Rattus norvegicus: one gene and its partner. The protein of the gene in region 2 purifies or fractionates together with the protein of the main gene of each other region. This does not show direct contact. Links are inferred from orthologs where the notes say so. Each region holds a gene or a part of one and is shown on either strand. Other genes may lie near its edges.

Region 1 (4,283 bases), on a different chromosome or scaffold from region 2:
AACTCACTACGTAGCCCAGGATGACCAAGTCCTCATGATTCTAGGATCTGGACTACAGGCGTGCACCACTATGCTGGTTTTCTGAAGCCAGAGATCAAACCTAGGGTTATGAACATGCTAGACAAACATCCTTCCCACCAAGTCCCATCACAGCCCATCGTTCTCACTGCTAAAAGATAATAACGCCCTCCTCCCTCGGGGGTTTTATAAGATTCAAATGACAGTGTGCACGAAAAGCGTTCCTTCTAAATTACAGACTGTTAACGACAAATTAAATATGGTGTCAACTTGCTTTGTGGGTCCTGGAACACTGGCACATGCTAACAGGAACCTTAAACAGTCAGAAACCAAAGCAGGGGGTGGCCCGTTTCCCTGGCCCCTGCTGGCTGAGTGAACTGGGAAGGAGCTGCTCACCACATGATCGGTTTTGGGAGATGTGTAAGCAGCCGATCTCCCAGTCCTACCAACCATTATACCTCCTTGGCCAATGTCCAAAGCCCAGCCCCTGACCCACAGCTCCTAGAAGCTACTCAATAACAGACATGCTCCAGGTCTTCAATGTTTACTGACTCAAACGCTAAATTGATTTTCTTCTCTTTTAGTAAAATCATATTCATTCATAGGTCAGACGGACAGTTTGAAAAGTGATATTCAAGACCAGGACACATGGTGTTGACCTGAGCAGCCGGTCTTCCCGTGTTCACATGTGAAGTGCTCTGCTCTGGACTGAAGCATGTTGTGTATATCTGAGCTTCAACTTCTCATCTGCGCAATACAGATAACGGTAACTCCCCCAGAGACACGAGGCCTAGCCTACAGACTGATGCTAACATGGATGATTTATAAACTAGGATAACCACTAAAGAGTAAGGCGTTCGGCCTCGACAAGCGCAGAATCCCCATAGAGCTGGTCATGTAAATCAGGAAAGGACGGGATTATCTTTTTAGAGAAAGCACTGCAGGAGAGGAGGCGTAGTAATAAAATATTGTTTTAATGTAAGATGGTGTCGTTAATATCATAAGCCATTAGAAACAAACGGCATCTGTTACCGATTTATAAAACATTTTAAAGCATTTCGGACACCCCCCGAGGTCAGTTCATCCTGCAGGACATAAAGCCTTTGATGTGGTTTCAGTCCACAGAACCAGTTCAACTGAATGGAAGATGCACACTGGCTACCAACCAATGACTTACACTACCCCATCCACTGCTTTTCCCACACATGGGCACTAAGAAAGTTGGAGGGACGTCACAGGAGCGTCATCTTTCTCTACCCATGTTTGAAAAGCCTAATTTTAAAGTGTCCTGCTCTGTGACACTGTCCAGGTGGCTTCTAAAAAGGGCCCCCAAACCTTAAAAGGCAGCATCATCCCTCCCCCCATTTCTTTCACCTTCTGACAAACTTACTTCTAAGTGCGCATCACATTTTTAAAGAGAAACAAGACTTACAGAAATCTGCGCTTACTGGTAAAGGCCTTGAACCACTAAACACACAGTAAGAAACCCCCTTCAGCGCAACTGTTAATAAGTAACATAATTTAATCTCCTATGGGCCGGGAATTGAGATTCCTTTGACGTAGTCAGACATTAGAATGTAACACTAAGCAACCCCCAGACTTTCAAGAGGCCCCCAGGAGGAGAGGAGGGACTCAGCACATGGCCGGCAGGGATTAACTCAAGTTTCTGAACAATGACTCAGCTTGAGGAAGAGTGACAACTTCCTGAACCCTTCAAGGAAAAAAAAAATCGGAGCAGTTGAGAATGTACTGTCAAAGTTCGGAGCCTACCTCACAGAGGGAAACACTCCTCTCTTTTCAGAGGGGCTTTAATGCTGACCCCCTCCCTTCTCAGCATAGGTCCCTTTGTCTCCCTCCGGTTTGGGGGACATAGGGTTCAGGCTTCTCTTGTGGTTGCTACTCCAGAGACTAAAAGTTTCTCACCTTCTGGTTCTTTTCTCCTAATAGTAAAAATAGCGAACACCTCAATTGTAACAAACACTGCTTGTATTTTTCTGTGCAAACATACTGTGTTTGGTGGATGCACGGAGAGAGATGAAGACGCACAAGACTCTTAAGATTTTGGCTCATATTTCTGCTTATGCAGAACCTGGAGAAAACTAGGGAACAACATGTGTCAGGGTGTCTCCATACGATTTTCATGGAACAGCGCCTGCACACAATCAAAACTTGCACAACTTTGGAGACCTTAACGTTCCCACCAGATACACCGGGGCTCATGTTGCTAAAGCCAAGTATTCACAGCATCTGCTAGTAGTATTCACGATTTAGAAATTTTACTACAAGGCCGTCCCCGTGATAGAATCTCAGGGAGAGTGTGACGCCTGCCTTTGGTGTTTTCAGACCTGCGACTGGCACTTCCCAAGTGTCAGCTGTGTCTTCTAAACGCACAACATACACGGACAGACTGCAGAGGGCACTGCACGTGGTTAAGAGAAGGAAGGATGGTATCCAACTTCGGTATCTCGCGCGGCCCCTTTTGAGTCTGATTCTCGCTGGTCCCCCGGAGGGGCAGTCCTGGGTTTTTTCTTTTTTAAAACTTACTCTTGTGTTACTATGAAGTGATCTGGGGCAAAGAAACTTATTACAGGGGAGGGGGGAAGGACCACACCAACCTGCTGCCTGCCCCCTGGAAGCGGGAAAGTTAAAGGCAGAGGGGGACCGCGCCGAAGGATCTGGAAGTTCTGCAAGCCGCACTGGCTCGCCGCGCTGCCGGCCGGGGGAGGGGAGCCCACCCGGAGCGCGCCCCCGCCCGCGCGCGCCCCCGCCGCCCTCACCTGAGCTCCAGCTGGTCCAGGCTCTCCAGCAGGCGGCTGGAGCGGTCGGCCATGGAGGACGAGCGGCAGAAGCGGCCCTCGTGGGCCTTGGCGCTGATCTTCGCCTGGGCCATGAGCTCCGGGGGTCCTCGGCGTCCGCGGGTAGCAGTGGCGCGGGCCGCACGTCGCCGTCACCGCAGGCGCCGCTGACGCGGACGGCACCGCCCCCACCTCCCAGGCTCCCCACCCCCGAGGCCGCGCGGCCAAACAAGGGCAGGCGCGGGCGCAGCCGCCCGCACGCCTGGGTGGGGGACCCTGCCCCGGGGCGCCGAGGGCCCACGCCGTTCCTCCCAGCACCCACGATTCACAGCAAGGACGTAGTGGGTGCTGCCCGTGACGTGGGGAGAGCCGGAGACAATTCAGGACGCCCTAAAGGGCAGTCTCTACTTGCCCGACCTGTCGGGTGACCAGGCGGGCTCCGGAGAGTCCAGGGAAAGCCTGGACCACAGGCTCCAAATAAGGAGAAGCCAAGTGCATCTGTGTTGTCTTGCCTTTCCAATGAAAGGATTATTACTTTCACACATAACTTGTTTAAATCCTCTGCGAATGATATTCGGTAGGCTCATGTGTCAGAAGCTGTAGAGGTCAGCAGGGCTGAAGTACAAAGCCGCGTCCACTTAAAGTCGTGTTTTGCTCTCTCAATGCACAGGATACAGAAATGCACAGGGAAACAAAGTTCATTTACTTCCTTCACTCAGAACTCAAAGCCATTAGATCACTGAACAGAGACAAGCCCCTTAAGTACGACTGGCTTCTAGTCCCACCCCTCCACCCCCCACCCCATCCTTATCCTGAACTCATCTTAATACTAATGAGCGGTGGATTATCTTGGCTTCATTAAACACGGTCATCTCACGACACGACCGAGAAATCTGAACATTTTGTGGACGTCTTGGAAGTCTGAGCTTGGGCAAGTCTCAGGTCTAATGCTCCGCTGGAGGCTGAGACAGAGTTGTGTGAATTAGGCCAGAGTGAATTCAAGGCTAGGCTGGGAAGCTTCAGCAAGCGCCTGTGTCAAAAGAAAAATAAAAGGGGCTGCAGACACAGCTCTGCGGTAGAGTGTCTGCCTCTGTGCTAGGTTGGCAACTAAGCCAGGCAGATGTGGTTGTTTGAATTCCCCCTCCCTGTACTCTCTGTCCTCATCACCAGGGAGGACTTAGGTGAGGCCTCGCTGGAGGAAGTGTATCCCTATGGGCAGGTTTGAAAAGATTCAAGCTATTCCTAGTGTCTCTCTGCCTCGACTTGGGTTTGAGATGTGAGTGCTCAGGGCATCTCTGTGGCCATTATAGACTCAGACCCTCTGTATCTAAGTTCAATTAAATGCTTTATTTTACAGGTTGCCTTGGTCATGATGTTTTATCACAGCAGGAGGAAAGTAACTAAAGTAACAAGCATCTTCAAATATGTTTGCTTTAATGTGTCACAAGTTGAGCATGCATCAGAGGCATT
Region 2 (4,549 bases):
CAGGAGTTAGTTACCCACCATGGGAAGTTAATAAAGCACTAATCTGAGAAAAGAAACCACTGATCCCAACACAGGAGGGTACAACTGTCAGCACTTGATGTCAGTCAGGCTCTGCCCCTCCCTGGCAACACCTGACTCAGCCCTGAAGCTGGCAACAGAGCCTAAGCACAGGGCTCCCCTCAGCTGCCTCAGCTGCCTGTGGGACGGTAGAGAAAGCTGTGCTCTAGTGCAAAGGAACTGGATTACAGGCTGCTGCTCGGAAGGAAGGAAGGAAGGAAGGAAGGAAGGAAGGAAGGAAGGAAGGAAGGAAGGAAGGAAGGAAGGCAGGCAGGCAGGCAGGCAGGCAGGCAGGCAGGCAGGCAGGCAGGCAGGCAGGCTGGCTGAGTGGCTGGCTCACTCACTTTCGTCCAGGTTGATGTAGTCCTGCCGCTCCTCCTGGTCGCCCGTGCGGTGGTTTCGGGAGCGCTGGAGGATGTGGGCCCTATCCCGAATGTGATGCCCAATGGACATCTGCTCTAGGCCACTGTCTGAGTCCCGGACAGTCCTCCGTGTCTCCCGGATCTGGGACAAAGGGACCAGACACATGCAATTGTCCCCACAAAGCCCTGGCTACATCACCCTGGATGAACACACCACCCACGACCCATTCCTGAAAAAAGACGTCCCTGGTTCCTGTGTGTGCCAATCAGTCCTACCTCCTCTGAGATAGGGGAGTTCCTTACTCACCCCGCCTGGGGCAGAGCGCATCTCAGATGTCTCCTGGTAAACCTTGGGGGCACCATCCCCAGTGTTGGAGTAGGAGATGACCGTGGAGGAAGAGAAGGTCTGGCAGTTGCCTCCGGCGGCCATGTGCTCCTGAGGAGAGACTGAATGAGGAGGGCCTACTTTGCAGAAGGGAGCTCCCTCCAGCTGACTGCTCTTGCCTCAGCTTTCTTAACTACACAAGGAGAATGGGCATCACAACTGCCCAACTCCCTAGCCCAACACTAACACATGTGATCGCTCAGGGGTATAAGAACACACACAGGACCCCGGTGCTCTGGCTCAGCTCAGTCCAACCCAGCCTCTTCACTAGCACATCACCTCACCCCCTCCCGCCATGTTGGCTGCCACCGAGATCAAGGCCGGGGAAGACTGGAGCAAGTCATACCATGTTCCCAATCATGTCGTTCATCATCCCAAACATGTCCATGAAGCCGCCGGACTGAGGAAAGGAGAGGGTCAGGAAGATGGGTCAGCGGTTGTGGGCCTGTCACTCACCTGAGGACAGACCCGCTTTCCTTCTTAAATGTAGCCAGAACACTCATGCTCCTCCCCATAAGCTGCTGGCCACCTTCTCGGGTCTGTGGCTGTTCTGATGCTTCTCCTACCTGTGCATTTCCCTATCTTTAAGGAAGTGACCCAAAAGCAGTGAGTTAGCTCCTCTGAACATGCTAAATGTTGACGGTTTGCCTTTAATCCAACACTGGGAGGCAGAGGCAAGCACAGATGACTTGTGGCCAGCCTGGTCTACAGAGTGAGTTCCAGGAGACCCAGGGCTGTTATAAAGAAACCTTGTCTCAAAAAACCAAAATCCAAGACATCGACCAAAAAACCCTCTGAATATCTAGAGTTGTAAAAGTGTCCCAAAGTCTCCCTCCTCAAAAGAACTGCTATACAATCTTACTTTCCCCAGTGGATAAGAACTTCCAGCTATCAGGAGTATTTGAGCACTTTATTTATATTTTTCTATGAATGAGTGTTCTGTCTGCATGTATGTGTTCCCTCCATTCATGCAATGCACGGTAGGGAACAGAAGATGGCATCAGATGCCTGGAGACTACAGACAGACAGTTGTGAGCTGTCATGTGGGTGCTGGGAACCAAACCCTGGTTGTCTGGAAGAACAGCCAGGTGCTCTTAACCCTGGAGCCATTTCTCTAGCCCTAGCTCCATGATTTATATTCAATGGGCTCTAAACTATGTCAACTATCCAGAGAAGATTTTGAGACCACCCCTAGACTAACATTGTCACCAAAGTGGCACATCTGAAAATAACATCTAAGGTCTGTGTGTATCTGTGTGTCAGAGAAAGAGAGAGACAGAGACACAAAGAGCCAGAAGAGAGAGACAGACAGAGACACAGGAGAGAGAGAGAGAGAGAGAGAGAGCGAGCTCGAGGGGAACAGAGAAGACAAGAACTCACCATTCCCAACATCCCAAAGGGAGAGACAGCCCCAGCCTACAAGATAAGGAACAGAAGTTAGAACTACATCCTACGACCTTACTATACCAAACGTGGCCAGTGCCTCCATCCCCCAACCCCATCCTTCTCTCCTCGGGAGTCAAAGCCCCCTTTCCCAGATTCTCTATCCCCACTCCTCTGCCTCCCACACAGATCATGTCCTTTTAAAGCTGGTTGTAGGACCAGAATGGCAGCATACTTAACTAGTCACCCTGGGTCTCGGTATGTTCCAACTGTTACCTGCATCCTGCGGCTGGCAGGCCTGGTTGCTGGCATGTTACCATCTGTGATGCTTAGGAAGGGGCTATATCCAAAGCCACCTGACAACATGCGGCTCATATGCTGACGGTGAATTGCAAAGGGGTCCCTGTGGAGTGAGCATACAATACAGACGGCAGATTAAACCCCAGCCTTCTTCACCTCCCCCCAAATAAGTCAGGGTGCGCAGTGGCAGGAGACCAACTCCCGTCTGAGAGCTGCAGCTAAATTCTATCCGGTTCCAGACACGGGAACCCAGAGGTCTGTCTGAACTGCTCAGACCTGAATTAGAGTGGGATGAGTGCACGAGGGGGGAGGGAATTCTCACATCAGGAACATGGGATCCTCAGGCTCCACGTCCCTCATGAAGCGGAACATCCTGATCTCAGCTCCAGGGGGCTCCACACTGTGAAGATACGGAGGCTGAGTTTCATGCAGGCTTATGCACACCAGCTCAGTGTAGCTACTCTTAAAGCTGTCTCTTGCACACACTATCAATGACCCATCCAAACTCCAGAGAGACCCTTCGGCAGGTGGACCACATAACCTTCTAGTTTTGAGAGCGAGTAGCTCTCCAAGCCGGTCACGGAATTTTCCCCAAGCTTCTTAGTGTTGCCCCTCCACCCCCGCCCGCCATCCTCTTCCCCGAGCCACGGTCAGCTCCTCCTCCGACGCCAGTCTCGATGAGAATCTCGAACGGCGGCCCGCCACCCCATTAATGACCCCAACTACTCCGCCTTCTGCTGGCACGGGCCGCTACCAGGCCTCTCCGGGCGGGCCTCACTGCCCACCGAGCCGGTCCGCCGCTGCCCCAACCCGTGCCTCCCGCCGGGCGAGCCGGAGAGGGAGGTCCACTCCCGGGCTCGCATCCCTGCAACCGTGCGGGCCGCGCCGCCCTGGCCTCACCGGTCCCCGACTCGGGCTCAGCGGCCCATCCGGCCGGCCTCTCCTCGGGGCGCTGCAGGAGCAGGGTCTCGGCCCGGGACGCAGGGATTGGTCCGCGCGGGAGCTTCTCGCCTCCCGCACCGCCTCCTGCCTTCAGCTGCCACCTCCGTACCCCCGCCCTCGGCCCGAGGAGCCGAACCTCGGTCAGGCCCGAGCGGAAGTGACGTCATGACGGACAGTCTTGGGGGCGGGCCACGGGAGCTCCACCCACCTGCATGGGAGGGGGCGGCGGGCTCGCGGCGGAGCCCCGGAGGGCGGGTCCTCTGGGGCCGGTGGGAGGTCTCGTTAAGCTGGCACGGGGATCTGGGGACAGGAAGAGGCTCCTGCAAAGGTGGGGGAGGGCGGAGCGGAATCGGGAGGGACTGGTTGAGCGCGACGGGGGCAGGGTGTGCCGCACCTTCTTTGCGGGAGGGGGGAGGCGGTCTGTCTGGGGGCGACCGGTGGGGCGGATCCCTGCGGGGACCTTTAAACTCAGTGCAGGAGGGGCGCTTAACCAGGGGAGCGCGGGGGCCTGTCCCTCTGGAGAGACGCTCCGGCGGGCGGGGTCCTCCGAGTGACGCAGAGGAGGAGGTGACAATTTAGCTCAGGTCTAGTTCAGCCTTGGAAAAGGCCAACCAGGGAAGGGATGTTGGGAGTTTGGCCGCCAGAGAGCGCTCCTGGGCCAGGCTGGATCTTTACTGCCTTAGGACACCGGGTTGGCTTAGGCTTCTGGACCACTCCAAGACCTGTCTGTGAAGGGTTGGCCTGGGCAAAAGCGTTAGTTCTGATGTTTGCTTTTTGTTGTCGGCTTTTTAGTTTTGGCTTTAGTGCTCAGGATCCAACTGAGGGCTTCGGGTTTGCCAAGCACATGTCCTACCACTAAGTTACATTCCAGTCCCATTTCTCTAGCTCTTACGTCTTTAAAACTTTCTTTGCTTAGTCTAAGCAGGTAGGTAGGTCAAGGGACTAAAGTTTAGAAGGATAAAGAGGTGGAGAGTTAAATTAAGCAGAATCACTCAGGGGCGGAGCTAAAAAGTAAACCCATGAGGCCTGACTCCAAAGCCAGAGACTGGTATTTTGACATACTAATTGTCTTGCACAAAATCTGGCTGAGCCAGAGAGAAGAGCCCTCCCCTTTGGGTCA

The links.
Region 1: the proteins of Mlf2 (region 2) and Bag2 purify together in Homo sapiens (affinity purification with mass spectrometry; 4 studies listed by BioGRID and IntAct, with this or other methods). This does not show direct contact. The link is inferred for Rattus norvegicus from reciprocal best matches to the Homo sapiens genes MLF2 and BAG2.

The regions. Positions count from the first base shown.
Region 1 is NC_086027.1:43,473,710-43,477,992, forward strand, and holds the start of Bag2 (BAG family molecular chaperone regulator 2), read right to left. Parts: upstream 2,929-4,283; 5' UTR 2,909-2,928; coding exon 2,796-2,908; intron 1-2,795. UniProt on the Homo sapiens protein: Co-chaperone for HSP70 and HSC70 chaperone proteins. Acts as a nucleotide-exchange factor (NEF) promoting the release of ADP from the HSP70 and HSC70 proteins thereby triggering client/substrate protein release.
Region 2 is NC_086022.1:159,424,950-159,429,498, reverse strand, and holds the start of Mlf2 (myeloid leukemia factor 2), read right to left. Parts: upstream 3,101-4,549; 5' UTR 2,860-3,100; coding exon 2,810-2,859; intron 2,591-2,809; coding exon 2,464-2,590; intron 2,221-2,463; coding exon 2,185-2,220; intron 1,205-2,184; coding exon 1,151-1,204; intron 856-1,150; coding exon 727-855; intron 562-726; coding exon 402-561; intron 1-401.